5 linked regions of the Macaca fascicularis genome follow. The protein of the gene in region 4 binds, or shares a complex with, the protein of the main gene of each other region. Links are inferred from orthologs where the notes say so. Each region holds a gene or a part of one and is shown on either strand. Other genes may lie near its edges. The genes, in order: E3 SUMO-protein ligase RanBP2, NUP153, CETN3, NUP107 and NUP214.

Region 1 (3,881 bases), on a different chromosome or scaffold from region 4:
ATCATTCTGTTTTAACAGAAATAGAACTACAATGCCCTTGCTGACCCACTATGTGGTAAGTACTTTCAGGCCTGATACAGCTATATATATAACAATTGATTGAAGACTCAAAATTACAGTGGTAGTTGAATGTGATAGCTTTGAGGACAGAGTGATGGGGTGCATTTAGACCCTTGCTCTTCTGCTTATTTTGACCACAGGCAAGTTTCTTAACCTCTCAATGCATCAGTTGCCTCATATGTAAAATGAGGATAATAATAATACCTTAATTCATAGGGTTTTTGAGGATATTAAAATGAGATAATAATGTAAAGTGCTTAGAATAGTGCCCAGCTGGCACATTAATAAATGCTCAATAAATGTTACCATCATCATCATCATCATCATTATTAACATCATTTGATAAATTGTTTAGGAATGAAGATGGTATTTATTTTATGACTTTAGTTGTAGATTTTAAGATGCTGTAATTAATTTTCATTATATGCCAAGTATATATGCAAGTATCTTTGTAGCAATGTGGTTTTCTCTTAACCTATTTATGCCTAGTGTTCCATTATTGGAACACTAAGCTTTTGGGAGTTATTTATATCTTACTGCTCAGGGTCATTGCCAAGGTCTGATTTTTCACACAGAAAATTTGCAGCCTCTGGCATAAACGGGTTAATGATGTGTACTACATCCCCTAATGATATCTTCTTCACTTAATATTCATGTTTGAAGTTTGTGAGAATTGGTTTGCATTTAGTTATCTGTAGTTTTGTAGACAATCTACAAAATGTTTTAACTTTCTGTCTTCTAGGGCCCAGTCTATGGCATGAATAGGCTTCCACCCCAACAGCATATTTATGCCTATCCGCAACAGATGCACACACCACCAGTGCAAAGCTCATCTGCTTGTATGTTCTCTCAGGAGATGTATGGTCCTCCTGCATTGCGTTTTGAGTCTCCTGCAACAGGAATTCTATCGCCCAGGGGTGATGATTACTTTAATTACAATGTTCAGCAGACAAGCACAAATCCACCTTTGCCAGAACCAGGATATTTCACAAAACCTCCAATTGCAGCTCATGCTTCAAGATCTGCAGAATCTAAGACTATAGAATTTGGGAAAACTAATTTTGTTCAGCCCATGCCAGGTGAAGGAATAAGGCCATCTTTGCCAACACCAGCACACACAACACAGCCACCTCCTTTTAAATTTAACTCAAATTTCAAATCAAATGATGGTGACTTCACATTTTCCTCACCACAGGTTGTGACACAGCCCCCTCCTGCAGCTTACAGTAACAGTGAAAGCCTTTTAGGTCTCCTGACTTCAGATAAACCCTTGCAAGGAGATGGCTATAGTGGACCCAAACCAGTTCCTGGTGGTCAGACCATTGGGCCTCGAAATACATTCAATTTTGGAAGCAAAAATGTGTCTGGAATTTCGTTTACAGAAAACATGGGGTCAGCTCAGCAAAAGAATTCTGGTTTTCGGCGAAGTGATGATATGTTTACTTTCCGTGGTCCAGGGAAATCAGTATTTGGAACACCCACTTTAGAGACAGCAAACAAGAACCATGAGACAGATGGAGGAAGTGCCCATGGGGATGATGATGATGATGGTCCTCACTTTGAGCCTGTAGTACCTCTTCCTGATAAGATTGAAGTAAAAACTGGTGAGGAAGATGAAGAAGAATTCTTTTGCAACCGTGCGAAATTGTTCCGTTTTGATGTAGAATCCAAAGAATGGAAGGAACGTGGGATTGGCAATGTAAAAATACTGAGGCATAAAACATCTGGTAAAATTCGCCTTCTAATGAGACGAGAGCAAGTGTTGAAAATCTGTGCAAATCATTATATCAGTCCAGATATGAAATTGACACCAAATGCTGGATCAGACAGATCTTTTGTCTGGCATGCCCTTGATTATGCAGATGAGTTGCCAAAACCAGAACAACTTGCTATTAGGTTCAAAACTCCTGAGGAAGCAGCACTTTTTAAGTGCAAGTTTGAAGAAGCCCAGAGCATTTTAAAAGCCCCAGGAACAAATGTAGCCACAGCATCAAATCAGGCTATCAGAATTGTAAAAGAACCCACAAGTCATGATAACAAGGATATTTGCAAATCTGATGCTGGAAACATGAATTTTGAATTTCAAGTTGGAAAGAAAGAAGGGTCTTGGTGGCATTGTAACAGCTGCTCATTAAAGAATGCTGCAACTGCTAAGAAATGTGTATCATGCCAAAATCTAAACCCAAGCAATAAAGAACTCGTTGGCCCACCATTATCTGAAACTGTTTTTACTCCTAAAACTGGCCCAGAGAATATTCAAGATCGATTTGCATTGATGACTCCAAAGAAAGAAGGTCACTGGGATTGTAGTATTTGTTTAGTAAGAAATGAACCTACTGTATCTAGGTGCATTGCGTGTCAGAACACAAAATCTGCTAACAAAAGTGGATCTTCATTTGTTCATCAGGCTTCATTTACATTTGGCCAGGGAGATCTTCCTAAACCTGTTAACAGTGACTTCAGATCTGTTTTTTCTACAAAGGAAGGACAGTGGGAGTGCAGTGTATGTTTGGTACAAAATGAGGGGAGCTCTACAAAATGTGCTGCTTGTCTGAATCCGAGAAAACAGAGTCTACCTGCTACTGCTATTCCAACACCTGCCTCTTTTAAGTTTGGTACTTCAGAGACAAGTAAAACTCCAAAAAGTGGATTTGAGGACATGTTTGCTAAGAAGGAAGGACAGTGGGATTGCAGTTCATGCTTAGTGCGAAATGAAGCAAATGCTACAAGATGTGTTGCTTGTCAGAATCCAGATAAACCAAGTCCATCTACTTCTGTTTCAGCTCCTGCCTCTTTTAAGTTTGGTACTTCAGAGACAAGCAAGGCTCCAAAGAGCGGATTTGAGGGAATGTTCACTAAGAAGGAAGGACAATGGGATTGTAGTGTGTGCTTAGTAAGAAATGAAGCCAGTGCCACCAAATGTATTGCGTGTCAGAATCCAGGTAAACAAAATCAAACTGCTTCTGCAATTTCAACACCTGCCTCTTCAGAGACAAGCAAGGCTCCAAAGAGCGGATTTGAGGGAATGTTCACTAAGAAGGAAGGACAATGGGATTGCAGTGTGTGCTTACTAAGAAATGAAGCCAGTGCTACCAAATGTATTGCTTGTCAGAATCCAGGTAAACAAAATCAGACTACTACTGCAATTTCAACACCTGCCTCTTCAGAGACAAGCAAGGCTCCAAAGAGTGGATTTGAGGGAATGTTCACTAAGAAGGAAGGACAGTGGGATTGCAGTATGTGCTTAGTAAGAAATGAAGCCAGTACTACCAAATGTATTGCTTGTCAGTATCCAAGTAAACAAAATCAAACAACTGCAATTTCAACACCTACCTCTTCGGAGGTAAGCAAGGCTCCAAAGAGTGGATTTGAAGGAATGTTCATCAAGAAAGGACAGTGGGATTGTAGTGTTTGCTGTGTACAAAATGAGAGTTCTTCCTTAACATGTGTGGCTTGTGATGCCTCTAAACCAACTCATAAACCTATTGCAGAAGCTCCTTCAGCTTTCACATTGGGCTCAGAAATGAAGTTGCATGACTCTTCTGGAAGTCAGGTGGGAACAGGATTTAAAAGTAATTTCTCAGAAAAAGCTTTTAAGTTTGGCAATACAGAGCAAGGATTCAAATTTGGGCATGTGGATCAAGAAAATTCACCTTCATTTATGTTTCAGGGTTCTTCTAATACAGAATTTAAGTCAACCAAAGAAGGATTTTCCATCCCTGTGTCTGCTGATGGATTTAAATTTGGCATTTCGGAACCAGGGAATCAAGAAAAGAAAAGTGAAAAGCCTCTTGAAAATGATTCTGGCTTCCAGGCTCAGG
Region 2 (3,881 bases), on a different chromosome or scaffold from region 4:
AGAGGTAATTTTAAAATTAAACATACAAATGGTTTCCAAGCTCAAAGGAAAATATTTTAAGACATACAAAACTCATACAGATACAACAGCATCACAGCACACTTACTGGAATTAGGAGTTGTTCCAGAGCCAAATGCAGACTGACTAGGTTGCTGTCCAAACACAGGGGGCTGACTACTGCTTGACACTGTCCCAAAAGTAGGTGGTGCAGGCTGAGAACCACTGGAAAATAATGCTGTGGAAGATGATATAGATCCAAAGCCTGGGGGATTGGGCTGGCTGGCACCTTGACTTTGTCCAAATGTTGGGGTCTGGTTAGCACCAAATGCTGGACTGGCAGATGGTGCTGAAGGTCCAGTTCCAAATACGAAGGAGGATCCTGGAGGCCCAAAGACACACTTAAGTCGCCATGGTGGCTAATGTCAGATTATCCTCAAGAAATTTCTGAAAACCCACAAGCAAATGTCAAGCTTCTTTTCAGACTCTTACCTTGTTAACCAAATTCCATCAAGACAAGTTTTAAATAATGATTGAGAATACAACTCTCTCTACCATTATTTAGTGAAACATACTAAATTCATATAAACAAAAACTGCAATTAACAACTACTCCATACCTTCACAGCCAACAATTTTTGGTAAAGGAACATATCTCAGAAAAGTCTCCCACCAGAAATCTAATGTGTGCAGAAATCACCTCATGATGTGCATATATATATATATATATATATATATACATATATATACACATACTGCATAATAAAGACTGATGTTTAATAAAACAACTTCCAGTGTCTGGTGACTGACAACCTAACATTTTAAAAACAAAGTTTGGGGCTGGGCACAGTGGCTCACGCCTGTAATCCCAGCACTTTAGGAGGCCGAGGTGGGCGGATCACGAGGTCAGAAGTTTGAGCCTGGCCAACATGGTAAAACCCCATCTCCGCTAAAAATAGAAAAATTAGCCAGGTGTGGTGGCAGGCACCTGTAATCCCAGTTACTTGGGAGGCTGAGGCAGGAGAATTGCTTGAACTAGGGAGAGGGAGGGTTGCAGTGAGCCGAGATCGCACCACTGCATTCCAGCCTGGGTGACAGAGCAAGCCTCCATCTCAAAAGAAAAAAAACAAAAACAAAAAACAAAGCTTGGAAAAATTAAGTATTACACTCTTACCACAATGAGAAAAATGGCTCCCAAGAGGTAAATATGTTAAAGTTGTACATACAGTGATTAATTACAACAACCCTGGTATAGATGACCAAAAGGCATTCACACCATTTTGTGATAACCTGCTATATGTTATTTGCTAATAAGTAAAGCCCATCCAATTGCAATGCATTTTTTTCTTTTGTAAATGTACCTGCAGAGCTAGACGTGGTCGTGGCTCCAAAGCCGAAACCAGAGGTGGCAGTATTATTACTGCTGGCTCCTGGACCAAAGACAAATGGGGTGACAGCTGTACCTGTGCTGGATGTGGTTGCTAGTTTGCTATCTTGAGAAAATAGCAAAGACTGAGAGGTGCTGGATTCAGCAGTGTTACCAAAGGCAGAGCTGCTCACAGGATTGCTGGACTGTCCAAACACAAAGGTAGCCACGGGTGGATTGGAGGAAGAGGTGGAACTACCAAATATGCCACCACCAGCAGAAGTGGCTGGTGTACTTGAACTAGAGGAATTGTTGTTCAAGAAACTAAAAACTGGCTTTGCTGCACCTTGATCTGTAAGACAGAAATTAAGAAACAAACATAAATCCTTAAGAATAGTCTCAGAAAGTACTTTTTCCTTACCCTACAATCACCAGAACTTTCCTACCCTAAAATTCGCTAGAAAAGTAGGTTAAGTTTTTTATATAGATTAATTCATCAAATGGACATCTGTTTATATTAGATTTTGACAAAATCAAATACATTCATCTTCTTTTATAGCTTATGGATTTTGCGCCTTTCACAGGAAGGCCTTTGGCATTCAGGTTAATAAAAATACCCCTCGAATCCAAATCTAACTGGATACTGTAGTTGAATAGCAAGTTTAGATAGCGGAAGATAGCTGTACTTTTATATATTTAATTTTGCAATTTATGTTACAGTATGTGGCAAAATCATAACTTCAATTTATCTAAATGGATAGCCAAATTTCTCCACAGCATCAACTAGTACAGGCTTTGTGCACTAATTTGCAATGTTGTCTTTATGACACACTACATTTCCTAAAATGCATATACTTGTTTCCTCTACCGTTATCACTAGACTGTTTTAATTATTCCAACTTTACACCATGGACTGATGATAGCAGAACAAAGCTGCCTGTGTGCCTGCCTTTTTTCCCAAAATTTCTTGTATAGTTTCCTTTCCATGTGAATTTTAGAGTAAGTTTAGCTTGTCAAGCTCTACAAAAATTCCCCTAAGAACTAAAATTATGGGAGGAGGAAGGGAATATCTTTGCCCAGCAACAAGTACGCCTTTTGTGTTATTATTTGGCATGTTAAAAGTTCTGCTGCTTTTATAAAATACAAGTTAGAAATGTTAGAAAAAAACAAATGAGATATGCCGATTTGAAGAAAAACTTTTGATTTTTATATCATGATTCTGAATCCAGCCACCTTATTGAAGACTTTTTTCTAAACTATTCCAATAATCTCTCAGTTCCAATACTTCACACTATGCAGGGCTGGTCACAGTATGCTATCGGCATTAGTCTGACTTACAGAAAATGGAACACGTTGGCTCACTTTCAAGCTGGCTAATGGAAGAATGGTTAAGAGTGTCTACCACAGCCTGGTGTTTCACCATCAAATCTGATTAGACCCTATCATATTTCTGTTGCTTTCCAAATAATATGTAATTTTAGCTTTTATTTTATCTTTATATTTCTAAGTAAATATATGACAGACAAAAAACTGCTCATAGTTATTTGTTGAATTCCATATAAAAGTTAATTTTGAGTGTTTCCAATTTATTATCCAAAAGTATTCATGGATATTCAACTTTTGCACTTTTTGCACATCTAAAAACACCTGTATTTTGCCTCTGTGTTTGTTGTTGTTGTTGGGTTTTCTTGAGACAGAGGCTCGTTCTGTTGCCCAAGCTGGAGTGCAGTGGCCAATCTCAGCTCACTGCAACCTCTGCCTCCCAGGTTCAAGAAATTCTTGTGCTTCAGCCTCCTGACTAGTTGGGATTACAGGTGTGAGCTACGGCACCCGGACTGTCTTTATACTTAAACACATTTGGCTAGTAACAGAATTCTAGGTTCAAGAACATTTTCATTTTGAGGGTACTGTTCTGTTTTTAGCATGTGATGTTGCAAATTAGAAGATGATGCTAATCTGGTATCTTCCTATTTGTGGCAAATAGCTTTTCTCTCTGAAAGCATTTGGGGTTTTAGCTTTGGTGTCCTAAATTTCAGTGATCTTTGCCAATAGGTAATTTCCATTTTTAAGACCAATGTCTTTCTTTAGATCTAGAAAATTTTCTTCTGTCACTTCTTTGATATTCCCCCAAAACTTCTTATCTTCTAGGTCACTCCTGTTCCAGAGGAACTTGTGGATCTAACTTGGATCACTCTTTGTACTTGTGCACTAAGTTCAGGGAAATTCTAGTTCACTAATCTGATGATCAGCTATGTTCTTCCTGCTATTCCGCCCACAGAATGACTTTAATATGATCCACCAACAATGATGCTTTTAACCTTTAAGGTGCTGTGTCATTTTTTTTCCCCCAGGACTTCAGCTTTCAAAATCTCTTGGTTTCTCAGGATTAATTATATTTGTTGTCTATGTTTCTTAATGTCTGATGAGGACTGGTTATCTGTAACTATTTATAAACAATACCATAGATTATGGTAGAAAATATTTCATAAGCTAAGAATCCTTATTTTCCAGGTAGTAGA
Region 3 (4,465 bases), on a different chromosome or scaffold from region 4:
TTTCACTGGTATTGCCAAAAAGCAGCTTTATACCAGACTATGAGCACTTTATCAATTTGACCAGTTTCCTTTTAAAACGTTGTTCTCAAACTTTACTAATTTCCTCTTCCTAATTTCAATTATACAATTTTGTTCTTCATTTCTAACATCTTCAAATAAATGCCTGGTCTATTTTTATTATTTCTTATTTAAAATAATGTTCTCCTATAGTTTGGTCTGTGTCTTAAAATGTTAACATATAGTTTTTTTCAATATCACTATGTTCTAGTAATTACAATTTCTCTTTCCTTTTAGACTCAAAGGTGATTTATAAAGGTACTTTAAAATTTAAAATACGAACAAAATAAAAGTTCCGCTTTTGTTTTTTAGGGGTGCTATCCCTTAGCTAATTTTTAGCTTGTTCTATCATACTATCTTTACTTGTGCAAATTTAGCCCATCCTTGTAGGTCTAACGTTTATGCCACCTCTTTAGGAAGCCTATCTTGTGCTCTCTCCCTTCTCTAAAATTTTATATACATCCCTTAAACATATGTTTACATATTCTCCGCCTTCAACTCCCATTCTCAGGCTATTTTATTCCCGTTTATGAGATTTGCTGTTTAGCTCAGTATTTTGTGGGTTTTCAAAAGATTCCACTCAATTTACCGAGCACCTATGCACCAGACATTTTATTAGGTACAAGGAAAAGCGTTAAATAGATATAATCACGGCCTTCAAGAAATTGAACCTGGTAAGGGAGACGAATAAGTAGACATTCAAGTGAGCTTTAGGAGACTTGGTTTGGTAGTGAATACAGTCTCACGTGTATTAACAATTTACAGCACCGTAAAATAAGAGACAGAAGCCAACAAATCCGTTTCAAACAGTTCAAAGGAGGAAAAGGAGAGGGAAGGGCGGTTTAGATACAGCATCACCATAAATAGCCTGATAATCTAACCCTGTGATAATCCAAGTATAGTCACAGCACCTGCCTCAGAATCACTTGGAAGGCTTGTGAGGAATACAAACGCAGATTCATACCTACTGAAATTAGAATGGAGAAAGGGGCATTTAAGTCTGCATTTTAAACACATTCCCCAGGTACTGAAGCCATCCAAAGTTTTAGAACAGAGCACAGCCACGCTTCGCAGACCTTGTTCCTCAACTACTGCCTCCTTCTAGCCGGAGGGTGGCCTGCAGCGTGTCCCTTCCCTTCCCACCGTCCAAGTTATCCATCTAGTTTTCGAACGTCGGCCCACAGACCGCAGGACAATACGCGAGAGACTAGGAGCACCCACCACGCAAACCACCACACAGGGATCGGAGGCCGGACCCGCAAAGGATTCGGGGAAAAAGGCATCAGGCCAATCCGAAGGGCGAGAGCGGCCCTAGGAATGGAGGGGCGGGGTGGGTGGCGGGGGGGGGGGGGGGCGGGGAGAGAGAGGTTTTTTTTTTTTCTTGATTGACGTAAAGCGTACCCAATGAAAATAAAATTGGTAAAGCTTCCGCCATAATGGGCAGAACCATAGCGACATTTCAACCAATCCAGCTCAAAAGTGTCTATGTTGTGGGAGGTCCCTGAGGCCGCTGAGGTCGTTCGTGTCTGTTGAACGGTTGTGGGAGTCTTGCTGCTTTGGGTAGGGGGTTAAAATCGTTTCTTGAGAGGAACGACTCTATCCGAAGAGATAATGAGTTTAGCTCTGAGGTCGGTAATAAGGAGGCGGCAGTGCTCTCCACACCCCGGAGCGGGACCTAGGGAGGGTGTGTGTGGAAGGGAGGCCGTTTGGGGCCGTGGCGAGGCAGGGGATGCTGTTTGGGATGCGGGAAAGGAGCCTAGGGCAGCCTGTCTGGATCACTCACCCTCTGGGCTCTGGTGCCCTGCAGGGAACGAGACTTCCAGTGCATTTCTACTAAGGAGGTTATTTCTGTCAGCGCGTAGGGCTTTGGACTACCAAAAAAATGGGCTTAGTTGCGAGCGAGGGGGAGGGAATGAAATATCGCGAGGCTTCTACTCTGTTGCTCTGAGAGATCAGGCCGCGGAACATCCCTTCATTCAATTCGTATGCCTGGCCAGGGCCCCACCTCCGCTGCTCTGCTGCTGATGCAATCATCCACCTATAAATTTTGGAAATAACAAAAAACTCTTTGCTATTCTCCCAAGGTCCTGCTTTACGGTGTAATTAGAAACCCATTTTAGTGACTAATTGGCAAACTGTCTCTTGGATTTCCTGTTTCTTTCATTTCTTTACCTTTCAGTTCTAACCTCTAACCCTCTGTCTGTTACCCGCTCCCCCTACGTAGACGTTGTACCGTAAAACTATACATATACTTAGGACACTCTAAAAATGTTCCATGTTCTGCTAAGGGATAATCATGGTACCCTTGGATGGGGTCAGGGGTGGGTCGGTTCTGGACTTGGCCTCTAAAAGTCTCAGGAAGGAAAAGACTGACCCCAGGAATACCCAAGTTTGTGTCAAGTCAGGTCTCATGAAAGGAAGATCTTCCTCAGCTTTGTCATACTGCATCTACTGGTCACTTCCTAGCCTTTTTTTTTTTTTTTTTGTAGCGTTCAGAGACCAAAACGACTTTCAAATGCAGCTAGATACGTGTTTTAAATACAGTCAACTGGTTTTGACATGTTAATGTGTTACCAGATTGTGTGTTTCAAAACTTGTTCTTATACCAGTGTTGCGGCTCCATTGGAAAACTTGGAGCACATTTAGATGGGCAGCTCTTACGGAAAACATTTCTGGCTTTAAAGTAATTTTTGCTTTTTTCTTTAAGCGTTTCCAGAGTTTATGAGAAGTTTAACCTCCAGTTTACATCTTAAGTGAGATAAGACTTATGAAGCACAAATATTGTATACTTTTTTGACATCTAATATTTGTCATATGTTTAGACTCATTAATATTTTGGGTGATTTGTTAATATCAGTGGAGGAAATGACACATAAATTGCCAAACTGTTAGAAACGTGTAATCTAAAAACATTTTGAACCAACAGTCCCAAAATATAAGTTAATCCAGTTGTATTTTTTGTAGTAATTTTATGAACTTAATTATCAGAACTATCAAAAGTAAACCGATATATGGTGATTGTCAGTTACGAATTTTGGTTTCATTTGGAGATTTTTTGGTTTCTTTAACATTCTTGTAGAATAATGTGAGTGTTTTTGTTTTTTTTTTGGTTGGAGTTGGTTGGAGTTTCAGACATAAACGTAATGTTGCTTATTCACAGTTCTTGAATAAATAAAAAGTTAGGGAAAGTGGGAATAAATAAAAAGCTGGGAAAAGGAAAAGTTTGGTCCTCATTTCTTTTAATAATCTGTAACACTCTTTAGTTTTGGGAAGTTCATATTTATAGCAATTTAGACTATGGAATAAACAGGGCATTGACTCATAAAGGGAAAGTTTCCCTGTCTTTCTCCAAAGTACTTTCTTTTTTGAAATTTAGAAAATAATTATTGGCTAATTTCTGTTAGTAAAGAGAATTAAAGTGGACTAAGGGCTTTTTCTTTCCATTTCATAGAAGTGAGCTTGTAGTAGACAAAACAAAGAGGAAAAAAAGAAGAGAACTGTCTGAGGAACAGAAACAAGAAATTAAAGATGCTTTTGAACTATTTGATACAGACAAAGATGAAGCAATAGATTATCATGAATTAAAGGTAATGGTATACTTTAAAATACTTGTTTCTGTGTTAAAATGATTTGCATTTTGACAGTTGCTTTACATTACATTTCTAAGTAATTATTTTAACTAAATTGGTTTTGGAACTATGAAGGCATTTTAAGCATTCATAGTTAGATTCTATAATAATACTGAATAGAACTCCTAACACAGTTTTTAGAAAATCTTTTTCACGTGATAAAACGAATAGCATTTTAAATGTAACAATACATTCCTAGGGAAGGTGCTTATTTTTCACTGACATAATTAAAGGATTTCAAACTGGAATTTAAACTATTACCATATTCTTTTCACTGTTTTTTTTGTTTTTGTTTTTGTTTCTTGGTGACTCATACTGTTTTCAGATTGTGGGATTGTTGTCTTTTAATCTTATAATTTGTATTTGTTAGTAACATAGTCTCAATCCACTTTCTGTGGTACAGACAACTTCAGTGCTGTTTGATGTTGACACATGCTAGTAGGTAAAAATGTCAACTTTAAGACCTAGAATGTCAAGGTGTAGAGAGGGATTTGTAAATTATTATTTGTCAGGGTATAAGGAGAGATTTGGGTTTAGGGTTGAGTGGGACTTACTTTCAGCACAGTGGGAAAGATAGTATTTTGAGATTTTTAATAGCCTTAATGGATAGGTGAATGTAAGTGTTTATTTGATAGTTTTAATTTTTGTAATTTCTTAAGGGATTTTTAAGCATTAGAATTCCAAGTAGGGATACGAACTATGCAGTGACAGTATAGAATGTATAAAAACAATTAATAGGCCTGTAAGTCTAGCTTTCTCAATCTTGCAGTCCTCTTTAG
Region 4 (2,837 bases):
TATTCCATTAGGCTTTTCAAAGGAGCAGTTATTATTTTAGCTTATCCTGTTTTTATGTTTTTTGTTTTTTCTGCACTATTAGTGCTATTGATTTCCTTTCTGTTTTTAAGATTATTTCAGAAATTGTAGTGTGTCATTCCTGTAATCCCAGCACTTTGGGAGGCTCAGGCAGGAGAATCACTTGAGCCCAAGAGTTTGATACCAGCTTGGGCAACATAGGGAGACCCCATCTCTGCAAATAATAAAATTATTATTTTTTTAAAATAAAAAAATTAGCCAGGCATGGTGGCACATGCCTGTGGTTCTTAGCTACTTGGGAGGCTGAAGTAGGAGGATCACTTGAGCGCGGAGATCAAGGCTTCAGAGAGCCATGATTGTACCACTGCATTCCAGACTGGGCAACAGAGAGAGACACTGTCTCAAAAAAGAAGAAAAAGGTAAAAAAAGAAAAGAAAAAAAAAAAAAAAAAATTATGTGTTTGGTTACTTTTTAATTATTTTAATTTTCAAATTTGTTGTAAGTAAATGTAGTGGGCATAAGAGGTTTACTCTTTTTTCTGTACTTTTACTGTTCACATCGATTTTAAGAAAGATCCATGTATGTATAAAGGAATGACAATTGTTTTTCCTACTTGTTTTCCTCATATATCTGTTCTGACTCATTAATTGTATTATTCAAGTCTATAGGTTCTGTTTTTCTGTTTTTAAAAACTATATGAAGAAATCATAAATTCCATTTTCCTTGTTTATAAGAAAAGTAGTCTGCAGTGAAGTTGACCCTCCCTGTGTGCCCCTCCCCATATCCTCTTTTTTCCAGCAACAGTCATTGCTGTCAGTCTGGTGTGTCCTCTCAGGCCTCCTTAGAGCTATCTTGATTTATCTGTGTGAACATCCAAGGGAGTGGTGATTGTTTTCTGTTCTGATTTTTGCTCTAATGATATTCAGTTTCTAACTCATTCTTTTTATGCATGTTTTTATTCAGGACACAGTAAGTTTATTAGAAATACAAATGCAGAAGCATTTTATTTTCACTGTCATACCTCTGACCTCTCTGTAGTCTACTTTATTCATCTTCATACTTTTTTGCTGTTAAATCTTATCTACCAATTACATTCTGGATTTGATTCAGTACTTAGCTTTTCTTTTTGTAAGGATCTTTAGCTTAAATTGTTAAAATGATTTATTGATGTCTGTTTGTAGGATGCTGAAGAAGACCATGAAAGAACACATCAAATGGTTTTACTGAGAAAGCTTTGTCTGCCAATGTTGTGTTTTCTGCTTCATACAATATTGCACAGTACTGGTCAGTATCAGGAATGCCTACAGTTAGCAGATATGGTATCCTCTGAGCGCCACAAACTGTACCTGGTAAGTTCTAGAGCATTGTAGTTTTAAATTTTAATGATTTGATATGCGCTGTAGTAATATTTTGTGAAGATGTGTTTACATTTGTAATTGTTCTTGGATTTTCTTAAAGTAATAGTCCTGTTTTAATGTTTGTGCTTTTTTCCCAAAATGTGTATATATTTGTAAGCAGTTAGAAATATATAGACTGACTCTGAGAATTCGCCTTGAAATTCCTGAACCACTCTAATTTACTAGCCTTTGGCTACATAAATCTTAAAGAGGAATTTCTTCTTATATGAAGCTAATCAGATTGATTAGCTAACTAAGTTCATACTTGTCTTTGTTCTCATTCTTATTTCTCTTTTTAAAAATCAGGTATTTTCTAAGGAAGAGCTAAGGAAGTTGCTGCAGAAGCTAAGAGAGTCCTCTCTAATGCTCCTAGACCAGGGACTTGACCCATTAGGGTATGAAATTCAGTTATAGTTTAATCTTTGTAATCTCACTAATTTTCATGATAAATGAAGTTTTTAATAAAATATACTTGTTATTAATTTTTTCTTTTGCATTGCCATGTAAAATTTAGACATTTGAATTTTGTACATTTCAGAATATTATCGTGACACTTTGAACATGTAATGTATATATATCAGCGTTTCTCTGTATGCTTATTAATAAAACTATATAAAAACTAAAATTTTTGTTTTTACAAATTCGAGGATTGTCTCTTTATGAGAAAATTAAATTTTCTATTCTAGTTTTTTCTGTAATCATAAGCATTCTGAAATTTTAAAATCATAAAGATGGGCCAGGCGTGGTGGCTCAAGCCTGTAATCCCAGCACTTTGGGAGGCCGAGACGGGCCGATCATGAGGTCAGGAGATCAAGACCATCCTGGCTAACACGGTGAAACCCCGTCTCTACTAAAAAATACAAAAAACTAGCCAGGCGAGGTGGTGGGCGCCTGTAGTCCCAGCTACTCGGGAGGCTGAGGAAGGAGAATGGGGTAAACCCAGGAGGCGGAGCTTACAGTGAGCTGAGATCTGGCCACTGCACTCCAGCCTGGGCGACAGAGCCAGACTCCGTCTCAAAAAAATAAAAAATAAAATAAAATCATAAAGATGATGGAAAGTAGATTTATTTTTAAGCCAGGTAAGTAATTTTTTATAAAATGTAGTATTTTTTGAATATTAAAAGTAAGACTATAACAAGAATGTTTTCTAACATAACATGCTATTATTATTTTAGTTATTTTGAAGACATTTCTAGTTTAGCTTTCATTTAGCAAACTTCCTATCAAAACAAGAGCATATAAAGACTTAGCATAGTACCTGGCACATAGTAAGCACTGAATACATTGGAGATTACAAATCCAGCTCTTCTAATAGGGGAAATACCATAAGTACATTTAAAAGGTGTCATTAAAAAATACAAGTAGTGGCTGGGTGCAGTGGCTCACGTCTGTAACCCCAGCACTTCGGGAGGCCAAGGCAGG
Region 5 (4,361 bases), on a different chromosome or scaffold from region 4:
CCTGTCACTACCACTTTCTGACTGAGGGCCACCGGAGAAATTTCTCAACTTCCCCTGTGCTTCCCTTACCTCAACAATTATTATTATGTATGTGGATGTGTATATATACACATATATATCTTTTTTTTTTTTTTTTTTTTTTTTCCTGAGACGGTCTCACTCTGTCACCCAGGCTGGAGTGCAGTGGCGCAATCTTAGCTCACTGCAACCTCCACCTCTCGGGTTCATGCCATTCTCCTACCTCAGCCTCCTGTGTAGCTGGGACCACAGGCGTCCACCACCACGCCCGGCTAATTGTATTTTTAGCAGAGGTGGGGTTTCACCATGTTTGCCAGGCTGGTCTCCAGCTCCTGACAGGTGTTCCACCTACCTCAACCTCCCAAAGTGCTGCGTACAGGTGTGAGCCACCGCGCCCAGCCCATTTTTATTTTTTGAGGCAGGGTGTGGCTCTGTTACCCAGGCTGGAGTGCAGTGGTACAATCACAGCTTACTGCAGCCTCGACCTCCTGGGCTCAAGCAATTCTCCCATCTCAGCCTCCTGAGTGTGCTGAGACTACATGCGCATGCCATCACTGCTGGTTAATTTTTGTGGTTTTGTTTTGTTGTTTTTTGTAGAGACGGGGTCTCGCCATGTTGCCCAGGCTGGTCTCAAACTCCTGGGCTCAAGCAATCCTCCTGTCTCGGCCTCCCAAGTGCTGGGATTATAGGCGTGAGCCACCGGCGCCTGGCCTACCTCATCAATTAAATAATAACCCCTAGGATGACTAGAAGTCTTCAAGATTACATGAGATCCCACATCTGAAGGTTTTTGCAAAGGACGTGGCACAAACTCGTGCAACTAGAGATGCATATGGCTCTTGCTCTGGAAATGATCACCTTGATAAGAGCAAACAAAGCTGGTCTTCCGTGCCCTTTAATCTCCCCTTCCAGCCTTCCACCTTCCACACTGGCGATCCCCCGACCCCGTTTTTCTGAACCTCCCTTCCTCCCCTTGCATAGCCCAAAGCCTCTCTCTAAAGTAGCCCACCGAAAACATCTGTCAAGTTCCTAACTTATCTGAATCGGAAGCTACTAATAGCCAACCTACATCTAAGAGGAACTGTAAGGTGTCAGAGGAACAAGGAGCATAGGTCGCTTAGACGTGGGCCACCCAAGAAGACAGATTGACACTAAGCGAACCCGCGCTGTCTGCGAAGGCGGGAGCGGCACCAGGACGATCCAGGGCGCAGGCGCCGGGGCCCCACGGCCACGCCCCTATTCAGCACGAGTTGGCCAATGGGGAGCGGCGGCCGGGAGAACGCGCGGCTTCTTTAGGTTCCGCTGCCTCCCCGGCCAAGCTTGACGTCACCAACGCGCGCCGGAAATGCGAGATCAACTGCGCGCCCCTGGCGCTGAGGGAAGGAAGTTTGCAGTCCAGCGGCCTAGGTTCTGTGGGCAAGGCCGTGGGAGGCAGCGTTGGCTGCTTCGACACACCGAGGGCGGCGCGATGGGAGACGAGATGGATGCCATGATTCCCGAGCGGGAGATGAAGGTCAGAGACTAACTGGGGCCTCCCTCCCTTCTTTAGTCCTGGCGTTGCCTTGGAGCCCAGCTGAAAGGCGAAGCGCGGTGCCGGCTGTCCCGTCTCCTGCTTGAACAGACTACCGCGTTCACCGCTCTCAGCTGCGCGTCTGCCGCGCCGCTGGCGTGATAGCCCCACCGAATGCAGTTTCCCAGTCCCATCCTGGTCTCGTGCACGTCTCTTGAGTTACCCTAGCTAGTTTCATGTGGCGGTCACAATAGTGGCAATAACTGCTGTGTATGGAGCGTTGACTGTGTGCCAGTCGCTGTGTAGTCATCGCAGCAGCCCTACGAAGTGGTTATTAACGTAGAGGAGTGAGTCGAGGCTCGGAAAGTGATTTCCCTAAAGTCACATTTGACAGCGGGGCTGAAAGCCAGCATCATTTAAGACCTTCGCTCTGCCAGTATTTCTGTAAGGCGGTACGGGCTTGCCTAACGTAGAGTCAGGGGAGGTCATCCATCCTGCAGAACCTTTAGTTGACTGAACTAGGAAGACTGTTTTGATATCGGTGTATCAGCCTCAAACCAGGAACCTAAAGGGAGGGCTAAGTGTTTCCAGTGATGGCAACGTGGGAGTCCCCCAGGGATAACTTCAGGATGGTGTGTTTAATAGTTCTTATATGTGTTCTGACAGAATGAGGGTGCAGCAAACGGCCTACATCTGTTTTAAATAGTGAAAGGAAGTAAGATGCAGGAAGATTTTAGTCATCTGTGTGAACAGTAAATCACTAACATGCATGTAGGGCATAGTAATACATACCCTGTTTAGAATAGTGATTTTTTTTTTTTTTTTTTTTTTTTTTTTTTTGAGACAGAGTCTCGCTCTGTCGCCCGGGCTGGAGTGCAGTGGCCGGATCTCAGCTCACTGCAAGCTCCGCCTCCTGGGTTCACGCCATTCTCCTGCCTCAGCCTCCCGAGTAGCTGGGACTACAGGCGCCCGCCACCGCGCCCGGCTAATTTTTTGTATTTTTTAGTAGAGACGGGGTTTCACCGTGTTAGCCAGGATGGTCTCGATCTCCTGACCTCGTGATCCGCCCGTCTCGGCCTCCCAAAGTGCTGGGATTACAGGCTTGAGCCACCGCGCCCGGCCTTTTTTTTTTTTTTTTTTTTTAAGACATAGTCTCGCTCTGTCACCCAGGCTGGAGTGCAGTGGCATGATCTCGGCTCGCTGCAACCTCCACCTCCCCAGCTCAAGCGATTCGCCTGCCTCAGCCTCCCGAGTAACTGGGATTACAGGCACCTGCCACCATGCCTGACTAATTTTTTATATTCTTTGGTAGAGATGGGGTTTCACCATGTTGGCCAGGCTGGTCTCAAACTCCTGACCTCAAGTGATCTGCCCTCCTCTGGCTCCCAAAGTGCTGGGATTACAGGTGTGAGCCACCGTGTCGGCCTAGAATAGTGATTATTTTTTGAGAATCACCACCTGTGGTGAGCCACCTAATGGGATTGTGTCATATTCCTCAGATATACTGGGGTAGAAGAAAAAAAGGGTTTATTAATAGAATCACAGACTTAGAAGATGGTAATCTCAGACTCCCTTTGGCAGCACATATAAAATTGGGATCATGCAGAGAAGACTAGCATGGCCCCTTTACATGGATGACACACAAATTCGTGAAGTGTTCCATGTCAGAAAACATTGAAGGCCGAGCGGAGTGGCTCACGCCTGTGAGCCTGCACTTTGGGAGGCTGAGGCGGATGGGTGACTTGAGGTCCGGAGTTCGAGACCAGCCTGGCCAACATAATGAAACCCTGTCTCTACTAAAAATACAAAAATTAGCCGGGCATGGTGGTGGGCGTCTGTAGTCCCAGCTACTTGGGAGGCTGAGGCAGGAGAATTGCTTGAACCTGGAAGGCAGAGGTTACAGTGAAGCAAGATCGCCCACTGCACTCCAGCCTGGGCGACAAAGCGAGACTCCGTCTCAAAAAAGAAAAAAAGACAACTGAGACAGACCGTGTTCTCAGTAATATATATTTTTGTTGTACTGAAATTGGGTCTACTGAATATAACTTGTTTTAATTTCTTTATTTATTGAATTGATCTTGTTTTGATTCTTCACAACAGGATTTTCAGTTTAGGGCGCTAAAGAAGGTGAGAATCTTTGACTCCCCTGAGGAATTGCCCAAGGAACGCTCGAGTCTGCTTGCTGTGTCCAACAAATATGGTCTGGTCTTTGCTGGTGGGGCCAGTGGCTTGCAGATTTTTCCTACTAAAAATCTTCTTATTCAAAATAAACCCGGAGATGATCCCAATAAAATAGGTAAGTTCCGTGGTTTATGTTGCAAAGTAGAGAGAGGAGTGTGGTGGCATGCTCTTGTGTTTCCTTCCCAAGAAGTCATTCTAATACTAAAATGAACACTGCTGTCAGTTTGAAGGTTGACTCCCAAGAAGATTAATGGAAGCCTTTCTAGGTTTTCTCCTTGGTCCTTTGTACTTTTCCTTACATGAGTTGTTCTTCTCAGCTCAAGAGGGAAGAACTTAACCATTATGCCATACTTTTATTCTTGCCCAGTTGAACTTGGGCTCTGGCTCTCTGGGTGAAGGGTTTTATTGGCATGGGTTTTCAGTTGGCACAACAGTACGATCCAAACTATTGGCAATGTGTACTATTTAGAGCATTGTTGCAAAAATATTTTCAACAAGGGCAACAGCCACAGTTAGTTTCCCCAGATAGTATGAGGAAGAATTCCTGGGATACTTAATGCATGATTATAGCTCTTAAGAAAGTAAAGATTTATCTGTATAACTAGGTATTGGGGTGTATGTGTGTTTATGTAGATGCAAAAATTTTTTCACA

What was found.
Region 1: NUP107 (region 4) and E3 SUMO-protein ligase RanBP2 share a complex: the UniProt entries of both Homo sapiens proteins name them as parts of the nuclear pore complex. The link is inferred for Macaca fascicularis from reciprocal best matches to the Homo sapiens genes NUP107 and RANBP2.
Region 2: NUP107 (region 4) and NUP153 share a complex: the UniProt entries of both Homo sapiens proteins name them as parts of the nuclear pore complex. The link is inferred for Macaca fascicularis from reciprocal best matches to the Homo sapiens genes NUP107 and NUP153.
Region 3: NUP107 (region 4) and CETN3 share a complex: the UniProt entries of both Homo sapiens proteins name them as parts of the nuclear pore complex. The link is inferred for Macaca fascicularis from reciprocal best matches to the Homo sapiens genes NUP107 and CETN3.
Region 5: NUP107 (region 4) and NUP214 share a complex: the UniProt entries of both Homo sapiens proteins name them as parts of the nuclear pore complex. The link is inferred for Macaca fascicularis from reciprocal best matches to the Homo sapiens genes NUP107 and NUP214.

What each region holds. Positions count from the first base shown.
Region 1 is NC_088387.1:16,258,023-16,261,903, forward strand, and holds part of E3 SUMO-protein ligase RanBP2, read left to right. Parts: intron 1-802; coding exon 803-3,881. UniProt on the Homo sapiens protein: E3 SUMO-protein ligase which facilitates SUMO1 and SUMO2 conjugation by UBE2I. Involved in transport factor (Ran-GTP, karyopherin)-mediated protein import via the F-G repeat-containing domain which acts as a docking site for substrates.
Region 2 is NC_088378.1:155,267,595-155,271,475, reverse strand, and holds part of NUP153 (nuclear pore complex protein Nup153), read right to left. Parts: intron 1,715-3,881; coding exon 1,358-1,714; intron 380-1,357; coding exon 107-379; intron 1-106. UniProt on the Homo sapiens protein: Component of the nuclear pore complex (NPC), a complex required for the trafficking across the nuclear envelope. Functions as a scaffolding element in the nuclear phase of the NPC essential for normal nucleocytoplasmic transport of proteins and mRNAs.
Region 3 is NC_088380.1:94,405,491-94,409,955, reverse strand, and holds the start of CETN3 (centrin-3), read left to right. Parts: upstream 1-1,542; 5' UTR 1,543-1,668; coding exon 1,669-1,685; intron 1,686-3,508; coding exon 3,509-3,644; intron 3,645-4,465. UniProt on the Homo sapiens protein: Plays a fundamental role in microtubule-organizing center structure and function. As a component of the TREX-2 complex, involved in the export of mRNAs to the cytoplasm through the nuclear pores.
Region 4 is NC_088385.1:75,503,665-75,506,501, forward strand, and holds the end of NUP107 (nuclear pore complex protein Nup107), read left to right. Parts: intron 1-1,199; coding exon 1,200-1,367; intron 1,368-1,721; coding exon 1,722-1,829; 3' UTR 1,830-2,040; downstream 2,041-2,837. UniProt on the Homo sapiens protein: Plays a role in the nuclear pore complex (NPC) assembly and/or maintenance. Required for the assembly of peripheral proteins into the NPC. May anchor NUP62 to the NPC. Involved in nephrogenesis.
Region 5 is NC_088389.1:12,731,187-12,735,547, reverse strand, and holds the start of NUP214 (nuclear pore complex protein Nup214), read left to right. Parts: upstream 1-1,367; 5' UTR 1,368-1,486; coding exon 1,487-1,531; intron 1,532-3,095; exon of another isoform or gene 3,096-3,197; intron 3,198-3,628; coding exon 3,629-3,824; intron 3,825-4,361. UniProt on the Homo sapiens protein: Part of the nuclear pore complex. Has a critical role in nucleocytoplasmic transport.